2 linked regions of the Lonchura striata genome follow. The protein of the gene in region 2 purifies or fractionates together with the protein of the main gene of each other region. This does not show direct contact. Links are inferred from orthologs where the notes say so. Each region holds a gene or a part of one and is shown on either strand. Other genes may lie near its edges.

Evidence for each region. Proteins that work in one complex are often made in the same cells at the same time.
Region 1: the proteins of MAP2K2 (region 2) and KSR1 purify together in Homo sapiens (affinity purification with mass spectrometry; 4 studies listed by BioGRID and IntAct, with this or other methods). This does not show direct contact. The link is inferred for Lonchura striata from reciprocal best matches to the Homo sapiens genes MAP2K2 and KSR1.

Annotation. Positions count from the first base shown.
Region 1 is NC_134622.1:11,097,212-11,104,713, forward strand, and holds the start of KSR1 (kinase suppressor of Ras 1), read left to right. Parts: upstream 1-4,403; 5' UTR 4,404-4,418; coding exon 4,419-4,643; intron 4,644-7,502.
Region 2 is NC_134630.1:6,760,736-6,768,136, reverse strand, and holds the start of MAP2K2 (dual specificity mitogen-activated protein kinase kinase 2), read right to left. Parts: upstream 3,044-7,401; 5' UTR 3,013-3,043; coding exon 2,927-3,012; intron 1,845-2,926; coding exon 1,634-1,844; intron 352-1,633; coding exon 205-351; intron 1-204. Other genes in the region: CREB3L3 (cyclic AMP-responsive element-binding protein 3-like protein 3), read left to right, coding at 5,321-5,336, 6,150-6,274, 6,383-6,638, 7,032-7,147, 7,400-7,401. UniProt on the Homo sapiens protein: Catalyzes the concomitant phosphorylation of a threonine and a tyrosine residue in a Thr-Glu-Tyr sequence located in MAP kinases. Activates the ERK1 and ERK2 MAP kinases.

The DNA of each region.
Region 1 (7,502 bases), on a different chromosome or scaffold from region 2:
GTATTTATATTACAGCAGCACTCAGAGGCTTCTCACCGAGATACAGGCGTTGCTGTGCGAGCAGAGAGTAAAAGACTCTTCCTGCCCCAAACAGTTTATTTTACTGGTGATAAATAACAGACAAAAAGGCAGCACTATTGCAACACAGCTAATGCTAAAGAAAGACTGCAAAACCCATGAGATTACTCTAAAAATAAATGTTGGGGGTTTTATTTGTTTTATAGACAACTAAAATTCTTATGTTCTTAAAGCTAGAAAGTTTTGGGTTGCTGTAACAGCTGCAATGCTTGTTTACTCACATGACTCCAGAATGTAAGGTGAACACATCAGTCCAGGCCTCCTCCTCGCAGTCCCATCTCAAAGTTTCTTTCTGTTGAAGGGGAAGTGAGCAGGGGGTTGGTGGTGCTTAGTTGCCAGCTGGGGTTAAACCATGACACCTGTACACAGAAAACACTGAGTGAAGCTACATAGCAGTTTCTTGTGCCTTCCACTTGTGGGGCAGAAATTCCCTCAAGATTGCCCAAACTCAAATGTTTTCCCCACCCACGAAAATTATTTTTAAGAAAAGGAGCAGTGTTTAATTTTCACATATTTTCCTCCATTGTTGTCAGCACACAGTTCAGTTTCCTTTATCTATCCCTAACTCACTGGGATCCACCACTGCCAAATCTGTGGATTTGCTGGTCCATCCCTTGCATTTAGTCAAACGCCATTTGACACAGACAGCTGAGCAGGAAAAAATCCATGGAAGAAGTGGACTTAGACAAAAATATTTTTTAAAGGTGAAGGTCATGTCTTATACTTGTGTGAACTGGTCTGGCTCAGTTGCAAGCAGTGGAGATATCTAAACTAGGGAATGGTGAGGATTTGTTCCGGGAACACCATCTCACCATCCTCACTTTCTCTGTATATCCTAACAAGAATATCCAGCAGCATGTCTAAAAATAGGACTTAAGTTTCTCAGCTTCCCAGCAGAGAAGCATGCCAGAGCTACTGTGTATTCCTGTGCTGTGCCGGGGAGAGGAATACTCCTATGGCTGTGTAGGAGGAAGCCTTTGAGGGGAAAATCATCAACGATAAAGGCCTCTTTCATCTGAAATACCTAACATTTCAGCTCTTCAAATCCCAACACTACATTTTCTTAAAACAGGTCTCTATTATGTGTTAAACACATCAAATAGAGCAATTCAGTCTCATCATCTAAATTCAGTGTTGTGATAGCTGAATGAAATTGGGGCAAGCTAGCTAAAAAGGTAATAGAGGCTTTTCATACAGGCAGCATGTGAAATGCATCAGTGCTTTTCTTTCTCCAAGAACATAAAAAAAGGTATTTTTCCTCAGTGAGCTTATTTTACTGAGTCCGAGACCATTGCTGTGGTCCAGGACTTCCAGGGGTGCTTAGCAAGGTTTGGGCTTTATTCATGTAGCTAGAACCTGATCTGTGTAGGCAAGAGAGATGGGGGCAGTGGGGAAGAGAAATCCTCTCCATCCTTAGGTCAGTGGCTTAACCAAGGACACAGCAGTTTTCTCTGATCCAGTTCAGGCATTCCACATTTTATTGTTTTCAGAACGATTGGTTTTTGACACAGTGGCAAAAAAAGGCCACTATACAATGAAGTTGACAATGTGGGTACGGTTCACTCAATTAAAAAAAAAAACAAACAAACAATTGTTTTACTCTAGAGAATGCAGTTCTTATGTCCACCCTACATAAACTGTACATTAAAAGAAAAATCCTAACAGGTGCATCAATTAATGTATAAAGTACAACATATGTCACTTCCTGAAATCTCTGGGAAAAGAGGTCATTCAGTGTGCTCACATGGTCCTTCTAGCATGGCCCAGCCATGGTATTTCTCTTTTCAAACTCTGATAAGCAGTGTTTTTACCCCAACTCCTTATAGACAGAATGCTGTGGTTTCAGACAACTTAAACTTCCAGGACTGCAGACAAAGCTTGTGGTGGAAGAGCAGCCTGAGCTCTGGGAAGGCGCCAGCCCCACAGCCTTGGAGGCAGCAGCAGGGATGATGAGCAGGGATGGACGCCCAGGCAGTGTTTAGTCAGCACATTTTTCCCGCAGGCCCAAGGGCAGCCCTGTGTGCTGGGGCTGGAATGCTGCCCACGGACGGCAGCCGGGTAATGAGGGCGGCACTCCCAGCGCACAAACACTGCAGGGAATGCCAAGTATCCTGTGATGCAGGCCCACAGGTTTCCTATGCTTTCTCATTCCCATTGCTTTCTCATGCAACGCGCTCGGCCTCTTGTCTATAAGCAAATGGATATTCTCAGGTGGGTACATGGAGAATGTCTACAAGAACAATGTCCTGTTAATAATGTTCCCTAGTTCCACAGTCACCTGTACTTGAGGATTTAAATCCCTCAGAGTCCTAGAAACTAAAATTTCCAGTGCTAAACTTCCAGTGCTCCTGAGCGCAGACAGGGTAGATAAAGGCTTTTTCACAAGGTCAGAAATATGGAGGTAATAAGCAAAGTTACTTTCCCAAAACCACAGGACTCATCAGATGGCAAACTAATTAAACCCTAATCCAGCAAAGCCCTTATTGCGTATGAAATTTACAGCATGTGAATAATGACAATAAAATCAAATACTTAACCTGACCCACATTCTTAAGAAAATTACTAAACAGCATATGCCACACTACTTGATGCAAATCTATACAAACTGATGTGGATACCAGTATTTATCTAACTATGAAAAAAACAGTTTAGCTGCTTTGGCCTGCTCCACTGCTTCATGTCCTAAATTCATAGTTTCTTCTTTTTTTTCCCCCCCAAGAATCTCCCTTCTGTATTGCCACATGTGGCTCAGATGTCATTTAAGCTTTTAAAACCTGGTATCAATTTAGTGCAAATTAAGGAGACTGTCTTCTTCTGTTAGTAAGGTACAACCTAACTGCCTCTCTGGATCCCTCATGTCAGATGAACAGTCCCAATTCTAATAATCGGGAGATGAGTGGTTCCTGCACTGACAGCTCAGCTCTGTGCGAGTCCATCAGACAGGCTGGATATGAAACCAAATGTAATGCAGTTACCTGGACATTTTCCTCACGTTTCCATTGTGGAAACTCAAACCACAGCGATTCCACAAGGCAATAATGAAGTTCCCTCCTACTCACGATAGGGATGAACCCACACACCTATCGTACTCAAAGCTTATATTCACTAAAATACGTTTATCCTAACGCCTGCTCACACCTCCCCTGGGCTGGGAAGGCCACCCCTGCCCCGGCCCAGCTTCCTCCAGGGTCTCGGAGGGAGCCGACCGCGGGCTCCTCAGAGCGAGCTGCGAGCCCTGACAAACCCGAGGGGCTGAGGCGGGCGCGCAGACGGGACAGGGAGACAGCGAAGAGGGAAATGAGGGAAATGAGGGCTGAGGCGGGCACTGAGGGCTGAGGGACACGCTGAGGGCTGAGGCGGGCACTGAGGGCTGAGGGACGCGCTGAGGGGTGAGGAGGGCGCTGAGGGGTGAGGCGGGCACTGAGGGCTGAGGGACACACTGAGGGGTGAGGAGGGCGCTGAGGGGTGAGGCGGGCACTGAGGGCTGAGGGACACGCTGAGGGGTGAGGAGGGCACTGAGGGGTGAGGCGGGCACTGAGGGCTGAGGCGGGCACTGAGGGGTGAGGGACACGCTGAAGGGTGAGGCGGGCACTGAGTGGTGAGGAGGGCAATGAGGGCTGAGGCGGGCACTGAGGGGTGAGGGACACGCTGAAGGGTGAGGTGGGCACTGGGGGGTGAGGAGGGCAATGAGGGCTGAGGCGGGCACTGAGGGCTGAGGGACACGCTGAGGGGTGAGGAGGGCACTGAGGGGTGAGGCGGGCACTGAGGGCTGAGGCGGGCACTGAGGGCTGAGGGACACGCTGAGGGGTGAGGAGGGCACTGAGGGGTGAGGAGGGCGCTGAGGGGTGAGGAGGGCACTGAGGGCTGAGGCGGGCACTGAGGGCTGAGGGACACGCTGAGGGGTGAGGTGGGCGCTGAGGGGTGAGGCGGGCGCTGAGGGGTGAGGCGGGCACTGAGGGCTGAGGGACACGCTGAGGGGTGAGGTGGGCGCTGAGGGGTGAGGCGGGCGCTGAGGGGTGAGGCGGGCACTGAGGGCTGAGGGACACGCTGAGGGGTGAGGCGGGCGCTGAGGGGTGAGGAGGGCGCTGAAGGATGAGGGACGCGCTGAGGGGAGCGCCCCGGGGCGGCGGCGGGCGCGGAGGGCGGTGGCGGGGGCGGAGCGGGCGCGCTTGCGGAGCCCGGCGGCCGCGCATGTACCGCGCGGTGATTGCCCGGCGAGAGCAGAGGGGCGGGCCGAGCCGGGCCGGGTCGCCTCCCGCCCGCCTCCCTCCCTCCTTTCCTCCCTCCCTCCGCCGCTCCCCCGCCGCCGCCTCGCCTCCCGGCCTCCCTGATGCCGAGGGATGGATAGAGCGGCTGCCCTGCGAGCCGCCGGCATGCTGGAGAGGAAGGAGCGGAGCGGCGGCGAGGCGGCGGGGCCGCGGGGCTTGCCGGCCGTGCGGAGCACGCTGCAGCAGTGCGGGCTGCTACAGGACCTCATCGACATCTCGCTCTCCAACCTGCGCGGGCTCCGCACTAAGTGTGCCGCGTCCAACGACCTCACGCAGCAGGAGATCCGCACGCTGGAGGTACGGCGCGGGCTGGCAGCCGCGGGCGCCGCAGCTGCCGCCTCTGCCCCGCTCGGCCGTGGCCTGCCGCTGCCTGGCGCCCTGTCCTCTCGGCCCCGGGGCCGCGCCGCGCCTTCTCCCGCGGGCCGAGCGCTGGTGGCGGGGACAGCGGCGCCCTGGCTCCGCCGCGGAGCTGTCAGCGGGCCGGGCGCTCCCCGCTGCACAGGGACACGGGAGCCCGACAGCCCGGGGGCTGCCCCGCACCTATCCGCGCCCTGTCGGCACCGCGCTCCGCTCCGCGGCTTCCTCCGCGGCTTCCTCCGCGGCTTCCCCGGGCGGTGCCGCCGGAGCGCGGACAGGTGCGGGGCAGCCCCTCCGGTGCCCCGGGCTGTCGGGCGGGTGCGCGGGAGCTCCGTGAGGCACCGTTCGGCCGCGCCCCGGGGCCTTGCCGGGCTCCCGTGTCCCTGTGCAGCGGGATGCGCAGTGTGAGGCGCGGAGCAAAGGTGACTCGAGGCTCGCTGGCAGGAGGTGTGTCCCCACACCGCTGTCCTGGCGTGCTGGGAAAACTCCCCTTTGCCTCCTCAGGTCCTTGCTGTTTGCTCCTGATACTTCCTGCCCTCCGCTCTGGGCCTGTCTCTCTATCCCTGGCTCAGTTTCACTGATCTAATCTGATCCTGCTTCTCCCTCTGTTGCTGTAGCTCAAACAGCATCATGGACCGGGCTGGAGAGATATTCTGCTGTTTAGAAAGATTATATGAAATTCTTCAAACACAAAACATGCGCTGCTGTGATGCTCTCAAAGAACAGCTGGATCTGTATGAAGAGCTACATAAGTACATAGGAAAGGAAAGTAGATGTATTTTTCCTTAGTTAATTTGACCTTTAGAAACTAAAATAACGTTTCCTTTTACCTTCTGTGTAGGTAGTTTTGCCCTAAGCAAGCAATCCCCTCCTGTCCTCTTCTTTGATTTAAGTTTGATGTAAATGCTAGTGCTCCTCTACGTGGTACTGGAGACAGTGGAGCTGGATAGAGCGTTAGGCTTTTTAGGAAGAAAGGATCATCAACAACACTGTAACTGTAATAAACCTACATGCTGAAAAATACATCACATGAGAAATGCAGGTTGGGAAGAAAACCATGAAACAATAGGTGGTAGGTAGCTTTTGGCACAGCCTCCTGGAAATCTATAATTCTTCCTTTATTCTTCGTCTGACTTTTTTGTGGTTTTGGTTGGTTGGTTAGTTTGTTTTGTGGGGTGTTTTGTTTTAGTTGGTTCTTTTTTGCCCCCCAAATTTATAGTGCTGTTCTTCTTCCTGTCACCTCCAAATAGTATCCAAAAGACTATTCTCTGTGACACAATATTTGTATAACCTTTTGGCAGCCCTACTTGAGGACCTTTTCGATGCCCAAACAATGTCAATCAGCATAATTTCAGAAAATTATCATCACTATTTTGCTTGTGGACCTGTTCTAAAAGAAAACCTTTATTCACAAAGTGTAAAGGCATTTTATGACCTTGAGGCTCTTCTTAAAGCAACGATAGCTGTTGAGTGTGTGCACACAATCCTCTTCAGCATTTATCTGTTTAAACAAGTGGGTGCCACATTCACCGATGATCATAAGATTTATGTTCAGAAGAAAGTCTTTTTGATGTACAGTCCAGTATGTGATTTCTCCGGGAGTTCAACCAAGTTCTGGATCTCTGCCCGCACATGGAGCTGTGGGCATGGGTACAGACTCCATGTTCTTTGCGCTGTTGGGTTGCCTGTACCAAAACACATGTCAGGCATGGCCCGAGTCTTGTGCTTGACTGTGCCAGGCTGCAGTCACAGAGCCAGACTGCAGGAGCTCAGGGCCTGTGTTTGCTTCCCCAAGCTGTCATTGCTTGTGGTGCCCCTGGAGGAGGTGGGCCCAGAGCTGTCTCAGGTACCAGGTGCAGTTCCTGTGCCCTGATTCCTGTGCCAGCAGTGCCACTGTGGCTGTGTGCCTCTGCCTGTGGGGTCGTGCCAACACAGCAATGAGCTCTGGTCCTGCACGGAGCTGGGTACTGGTGGGTGGACTCCGCAGGCAGCTCGCGAAGAGTCCAGAGTGCAGCTGGGAGCTCAGAGATCTCCAGGGCCTGCTGTGCTTCCCTGGTGGCCTCTGTGAGTCACCAAATGGCTCTGCGGGTCATGATTAGTGGCTACTGGCAGTGTAGTGCTGTGAGCACTGTACTGCACTGTACTATATCTGTACTATACGTCAGTCCTGGACTGGGAGCTCATGTAGGCTGGGGCTGAATTCTCACAAGGCTTTTCTTCCGTGCAAAGACTTCAGATGACAAAGAACTGTGAAAACTTAGTCCCATTAATAAAACTGATAAACTGTGTAGTGACATGTAGTTGCCAGGTCAAGAACACCGACCTAACCAAGGGCACTTGGGCTCATGCTTAGCTCCCTCCCCATTTACCGCAATGCTTTAATTCCTTCCTCATTCCTCTTGCTTGTAAGGTGTTCTCAAAATAAAGCACATGGTAGATAAGGATTTCAAACTGGACCTTGGCAGGTACAGATAAGCACTCAGGGAAAACTGAGATACAGGAAGGAGAGGAAAGAAAGGGCTGTGGGAATTGCTTGCAAAGGATGTGTTGAGCATAATGTATTATATGAGCTGACCCTGTTTCAGGGTAGGCAGGCCATTTCTTAGAAGGGCAGGGAGTTTCCCTGTAGTGGAAAGTAGGTTCTGTTAGTTTGGTTATTAGCAGACTGGGTTCTTTGATGCCACAAGGTCTGGTTTGGGTTTTTAAAGTTTTATATGTTCTGCCCAATAAATGCTTGAGTGTTTTTCTTTTTATCCAGTGCTGGTCTTTGCTTTCAGTTTTGTCCTAGCATGTTTACTC
Region 2 (7,401 bases):
TGGCAACATTTCCGTTTGGCCAAGCCCCAAACCTCTGCTTCCTCTTCCCAAAAGTCGCTGTCTCCCTCATTCCGAGGCCTGAGCAGGAATGTGTGGCTCCCACCAGGAGCAGAGTGGCCCGAGCAGGGAGCTGCCAGTGCCCCAGGGCACTGAGCTGGCAGGGAGAGGGCACGGGGAGGGTGCAGGGCAGGGGCAGGGCCTCACCATGTGCTCCATGCAGATGGAGATCTCCCCGTCGCTGTAGAAGGCTCCGTAAAACCCCACGATGTAGGGGGAGTTGCACTCGTGCAGCACCTGCAGCTCCCGGATGATCTGGTTCCTGATGGCTGGCTTGATTTCCAAATGGATCAGCTGCCAAGAGAGAGAAAACAGGAGAGGTGTGACTCCTGGGAAGGAAAAGAACTGATGGGCAGCAGCCCTGAGTGCTCGGAAGAAATGAGACCTTCAAGGGAGGCGCTGCTTTGGAGCAGGATTTTTCCCATTCTCCCATTTCCCATATTGAGGATAAAGTGCCAGGACACAGGGAATGGCTTCCCACTGCCAAAGGGCAGGGAGAGATGGGATATTTGGGATAAACCCTGTGAGGGTGGTGAGGCCCTGGGATGGAATTCCCAGAGAAGCTGTGGGTGCCTCTGGAAGTGCCTGAGCCAGGTTGGATGGATCCTGGGACAGTGGAAGGTGTCCCAGGCCATGGCACCGGGTGGGACTGGAGGTCTCTCCGAGCCCATCCAGTGGGGGATTCCAAGGATTCCACACTGAAGGCAGAGGGAGAGCTCTGTGCTGCCTCAGCCATGGAAGGCACCGGGATTGCACCGGACACGGGTGGAAAGACGAGTCAGGAGTTTGATCTCAGCCCCTCTGAGTCAGCAGCCAGGAGCATTTTCACAAGCTCTGGAGGTGTTGTAAGAAGGTGCTCCGAGATCAAGGAAACCACAGAAAAGAAAAAGCCCCTGTGAAGTTCTGCACAAGAACGAGCGGCGGCTTTTGGGGCCGCACGTGGGTCAGAGCAGAGTGGGGAGGGAAACACCCTGTGCTGGTGAAAGGAGGCCCTGCCCAGGGAACTGGGTGAGCTGTAAGGCCCCTTCCAACCCAAACCACTCCACGATTCCATGATCCCAGCAGCAGGAAGGAGGAGAGACTCTGGAGGAGGCAGAGCAGTGGTTGTGCTGCTCCTGCCAAGCACAGTCTCTCCCAGCAGGCAGTGAAGCAGCTCCTGATTTTCTACTCCGTGGCACCACTGTGGATGCTCCCAATGAAGGCAAGTCTGAGAGGAACCTCTGTCCCTGCTTGGAATGTCCTTGGGATGTGTTAAATGGGGCTGAGGGACGTGCGTGCTAAACCCATCCCACCTCCTCAGCCACGACCTACAATCCTCAGGAGATCCAATTCCAGTCACTCCATCCATCAGAAAAGGGAAAAAAATAAAACTCCTGTTTTCCAGAGCCCAGGGATCTGTCCCTGGGAGTGCAGCCTCTCCCAAAAGAGAGAGCTCCATCTGGGAGCAGCCAGGACTCTGCTCCTGGCCATGGTGAGGTGGTGAAGGTGCAAATGCAGAGAGAATCCAACCAAACCCAGCCCTCCCCGAGGCAGGGAGAGCTCCAGGTGCTCCCCAGCATTCCCAGTCCCTCGTTACCTTCCGTGCCATAATGAGCCCTGAGGGTTTGTGCTGCACTTTGGTGACCACCCCGCCATTGCCAGCGCCCAGCTCGGAGATCCTCTCGAAGTCATCGTCCTTCAGCTCCCCCACTTTGGCTTTTTGTGTCAGGAAAGCTTCCAGGCGCTTCTTCTGCTGCTCATCCAGCTCCAGCTCCTCCAGCTTCTTCTGCAGGTCCACCAGGTTAGCCCTGGAGAGGGGAGGAGGAGATGGGAGACGGTCAGCACCAGGGAAAGGAGGGCATAGGTGGAAAGTGGAGGGAAATGATGGAAAAGCATCCCCTGACATGTCCTGAGCCCCCAACAATGGGATCACCTGGACAGGGAGACCTGGAGAAGGCCCTGCCCAACACACACAGCCCCTCTGGAGAGGAGCTGGGGAGCAGTCAGGTGTTTTGGGAGAGCCAAGGAACAGGAAAAATCCCTCGGCCCTTAAAGAGGCAGCAGCAGTTGCTGCTCCCTGTCCCGGGGAGCCAAACTTGGCTTTGGCTGTGTAACACGAGAAGGGCCTTCCATGGGGTCCAGCAGCTCCGTTACACCCCCACCCCAAATGCTGAGCACAAAGGGGGGTCTGTGCTCCCCCAGCACCAGCTGCCGAGCCCCCGCCGCCTGTGCCAGCTCCAGCTGCTCTGTCCCAGTTGCTGCCACCCCCTTGTCCCTCCTCACCCACACCGGGACGTGTCGGGAGGGTCTCACCCCATCCCTTCCCTCAGCACCCCACCCACCCCCTCCAGCACCTCTCACCCCACATGTCCCACCTGCCGAGCCCCCACTGCTGCCCCTCAGACCCTGGGTCCCTACCCCAGCTCCACCCTGGGTCTCCAGGCCTGCTTCCCTGCGGTTCCAGGCCTGGATCCGGCACTCCCCAGGCTTGAGCTGCCCCTGCGAACCGGGGGGGCCGGAGCAGCCTCCCCCTGCCCGTCCCATCCCCACCCCAGCCCCTCCAAGCCCCAACCTCCTCCCCGGCAATGCCTCCCTGACCCTAACCTGCCCCACATCGGGCCCACCCAGCCCCCGGGCCCGTCCCAGCCCCCCGGGACCTTCCCTGCTCCCCCCTCAGACCTTCCCAGGCCTCCCCAAACCCGTCCCGACTCCTCCAGGCCTCCCCTGGCCTTCCCCGCGCCCCGTACCCGCCGTGCCCCGACCCCCCGGGCCCGGTGCCCGCTCTGTCCCGGCCTCCCCGGTCAGCCCAGGCCCGGTGTCCCCCCCCGGCCCCGCGTCCCCCCCAAGCGCAGCCCCGCCGCCGGGGCGGTCCCGGCCGGGCCTGACTCACTCAGCGGAGCCGTCGGGGCTGGGCCCCTCGGCGGCGCTGGGGGCGATGTTGAGGGCGGGCAGCACCGGCTTCCTCTTGGCCGGCATGGCCGGGCCGGGCCGCGCCTGCGGGGCGGGGGCGCGGCCGGCGCGGGGGCGCGCGGGGGCGGGGCCGGGGCGGGGCCCGCGCGGGCCAATCGGGGCGGGGCCGAGCCCGGGGGCGGGGCCGGGGCCCGCGCGGGCCAATCGGGGCGGGGCCGAGCCCGGGGGCGGGGCGGGGCCCGCGAGGGCCAATCGGGGCGGGGCCGAGCCCGGGGGCGGGGCGGGGCCCGCGCGGGCCAATCGGGGCGGGGCCGAGCCCGGGGGCGGGGCCGGGGCCCGCGCGGGCCAATCGGGGCGGGACCGAGCCCGGGGGCGGGGCCGGCGCGGGGCCGCGGTCGGGCCCGTGGAGGCGGGACCGGGGGCTCCGTGGGGCGGGACCGGAGCACCATCGGGCGGAACCCGGAGCTCCGTGGGCTCCGTGGGGCGGGACCGGGGGCTCCGTGGGGCGGGACCGGGGGCTCTGTGGGGCGGGACCGGAGCACCATCGGGCGGAACCCGGAGCTCCTTGGGCTCCGTGGGGCGGGACCGGGGGCTCCGTGGGGCGGGACGGGGAGTTCTGTGGGGCGGGACCGAGGGAGCTCTGTGGGGCGGGACCCGGAGCTCCGTGGGTTCCGTGGGGCGGAACCGGGAGCTCCGTGGGGTGGGACCAGGAACTCCATGGGGCGGGACCGGGGTCTGTCCGTGGGGCGGGACCGGCGGCTCCGGGAGGGCGGGGCCCCGCGGCGGCAAAAGGGGCGGGGCCTAAGAGCGCGGAGAAACGCGCGCGGCTTGGCGAAGTCTCGCGAGATCTCTCTGAGGGGAGCAGCGGCCGGCGGCCGTGGCGGAGGTTCCCGCCCGGGGGGCTCCGGCTGTGCGGACCGAACGTTAATTAAATCATCGCTAATTAGCGCCCCAGCAGCGGGCAGCAGCCCCTCAGCCCCGCCTGCTCTGCTCACCCCATCCATGCCCGATGCCAGGCGCAGGGACCCCCGAGGCTCCTCATGAGGGGCCGCGAGCAGCCGCGGCTGGCGGCAGCGGCGGCGCCCTTTGCCCGGTCCCGGACGGGTGGATGGGGCCATAAACAGGGAGCAGCCGCCGCCTGCTCGGGCAGAGGCCGTGGCGGGGCCGATAAGGGGCCGTGGCCTTGTCCCCTGGGCCGCACGGAGCCTTCGTCAGCGCCGTGCCCTCCGTGCGCCCGGGGCCGCCGGGGCGGCGGCAGCTGCGTGCTGCTGGTGTCCCTCAGTGCGAGGGGGATGAAGGCTCGGCACAGCGAGGCCGCCCCAGACAGCCGCGGAATCTGCGTGGGGATGGATTTTAAACACATCCCATTCCACCCCTGCCATGGCAGGGACATCTTCCACCGTCCCAGGCTGCTCCAAGCTGGCCTTGGGCACTGCCAGGGATCCAGGGGCAGCCACAGCTGCTCTGGGCACCCTGCGCCAGGGCCTGCCAGAGAACAGTTGCTGCCCAATATCCCATCTATCCCTGCCTCTGGCACTGGGAAGCCATTCCCTGTGTCCTGTCCCTTGTCCAAAGTCCTTCTCCAGTTCCCTTGGAGCAATCCCTTGGGCATTCCCAGTGCTGTTATCCCTATTCCCATGCCCTGGGTGCTGTTATCCCCCATTCCCAGTGCCGTTATCCTCCATTCCCACTGCCATGATCCCCCAATCCCAGTGCTGTTATTCCCAACCCCAGTGCTGTTATTCCCATTCCCAGTGCCGTTATCCCTGTTCCCGTTCCCCCTCAGGTCCTCCTTGTGCCCTCCCTATTATCCCCATTTCCATTCCCAATATCCCATCCATCCCTGCCCTCTGTCCATGGGAAGGCATTCCCTGTGTCCTGTCCCTCCATCCCTTGTCAATGGTCTTTCTCCAGGGAGAGCCAGAGGGCACCAAGTTTTTTTTTGATAAGCCATAAGAGGTAGAGCCCAAGCAAACATCCCCGGATATTGCACACATCGAATGTGATTAATCCCCAGACGTCTGAAAAAAGGGAAACTGTCCCCAAAAGTGGGTGAAGGTTCATGGACAATTATAGCACCTGGACTTCGCCCGGCAGCCCCGGCCCCTCCTGCCCCGCTTGGCAGAGGAGCACAACAACATTTGGCTAATGAGTTACGGGTCCAGCCCCGGGGTGGCCCTGCCATCTCACTCTGACAGCCCCAATCAGGGCTGGGACATTTTGCAATCTGGGATATTATTTCTGTGCAGTTGGAGTTTAAACTTTGCCATTCGGGCCAGGGAATCACAAAGGAGGAGGAAGAGGAGGAGGGTGAAGGCCGGGCTTGTTGTCTACCGTGCTCCCCTGTGCTCAGAGAGGGTTGAGAGGACAATCTATGGCATCTCCCTCAGGTATGTCCCGGCTGTCACCACTCAACAAGACCCCATGGGGCCATCAGGATTCTCTGAGAGGACTCAGAGTGAAGGACAGGGTGCAATAAAGCCCCGTGTCCACCTTGGCCAGACAAATGTCAAGCAGTGACAGCTGTCCCCAGCTGGTTTGGAGGACACTTGAGTCAGTTGGGTGGCTGGTGGGTTGGTTGGTTGGTCAAGCAGGCAGAGTTGACTGGTCAATGCATTGGTCAGTGGGCTGGTCATTTGGGCAGTCCATCCATTGGTCACTTGGCCAACAGGTTGACCATTCGGTCTGTCTCTTGATCAGTTCATTGACTGACTGGTCAACCGGTTGGTCAGTGGATCAGCTGGTTGGGTAGCTGGGATGTCAGTTGGCTGATTGGCCAGTTGGGCTAGTGGTCAGCTGGCCCAGTGGCTCTGAGCCCAGGGTCTAGCAGTGAGGGACTGAGTCCCCTCCCTGGGGTGACTGGTGGCCACAGTCCCCTGCCCTCCACTTGCCACCCAGAATGATTAACCAGCCCTTCCAGCACGGTCACCTCCAGGAGGGAACCCCCTGGCTGGGCAGCTCTGGGTGGAAAACTGGAGGATTTGGGAACTTCAGCTGCTGGAAGGAGCGGGGGGCACTGCCATGCCTGGAGTCCCCACATCCTGTCCACCTGTAGGGCTTTTCCAGGTGAATCCCAACATGCCCCTGCCTCCTCCCAGCTGCCCCACGACTCGAGGTGTCCCTGGGGCCCTGCAGCTCACATGGGGGTGGCTCTGGGGGGTACCACGGGGCCTGGGCTGGACAATGACCCTGCCACCCCACAGCCATGGCCTCCAGCGCGGGCAGCCTCGAGAGCCTGGACCTGCTGGATCTCCTCTTCGACCTCCAGGACGGGATCCTGCGTGAGGTGGAGCTGGGCTCGCCGCCGGGAGCCTGGCCCCAGGACAGGGTGAGCCAGGCCCGGACCCCGCCCCGCCTCGGCCCTGCTGGGTGACAGCCCTGGGATGTCACAGCCCGGGGGATGGGTGCTCCCGGTGACGGTGCCGTGTCCCCACAGCGTGCCCCGGACAGCAAGGACTTCCTGAGCTCCGTCCTGGGCTCCGGGGACTCGGTGTCGGACTCGCCCAGCTGGTCCCCGGCCACCAGTGACAGCGGGGTGTCCGAGGACCCCCCCTCTGACCAGCATGACAGCCCCCCCCGGAGCTGTGATGGGGGTCCCCAAGAGGTCCTGTACCCCTACACCGACCCCTGCCAGGCCCAGCCCCTCCCGGCGGGGTCTGGGGTCCTGCAGCCTGAGGTCTCCATCGACCTGGGTGAGCCACACTGGGAAAGGACCGGGCTGGGGGCACTGGAGGGACTGGGGACACTGGGGAGCTGAGAGCAGTGGGGGAGGTGGGGGACTGTGAGGAAATTAAGGAGGCTGGGGGAAACTGGAAAGAACTGGGAGGTCTGGTGGGCTAGGGAGGAGATGGGGAGAGTGTGGAGAGCTTGGGAACTGGGGTGAACTGGGCAGGTGAACCAGTTGGTGTTGGGGGGGGACTAGGGCAGGACCAGAGGGACAGTTTGGGGAGACAGAGTCAGGGGCATGGGTTGGGCAGCAAGTCACCCTGGTTCTGGAGCCATGGCAGGAGGAGGGTCCTGCAGTGGGGACACTGGGGACAGTGGGGACACAGCACTGTTGACAGCTCTGCTCTGCCCTCACCCAGACATGTGGCACCCCGGGTTCTTCCTGGAGGAGAGCCAGGACCCGCCTGTGGTCCCCCCACCTGCATCCTGTGCCCTCACTGTCAAGGACCTGCTGCTCTCTGGCAGCTCTGACAATGTGAGTCCCTGTCTCTGTGTCCCCAACACTCCCTGTCCCCAGCCCTGTCCCTCCCTGGACCCTGATCATCCCCCATTCCCATCCCCATCCCTCCCCATCCCCACACTTGTTCCCTTCCCCTTCCTGGTCCTTGTCTACAATCCCTGTCCCTTCCCGGCCCAAGGCACCTTCACCGTGGTCCCAGCCAGGGTCCCTGGGGCCAGGTGGGAGCTGACCCCCACCCAAAGGTGTCACCATTCCATGTTCCTGCAGCA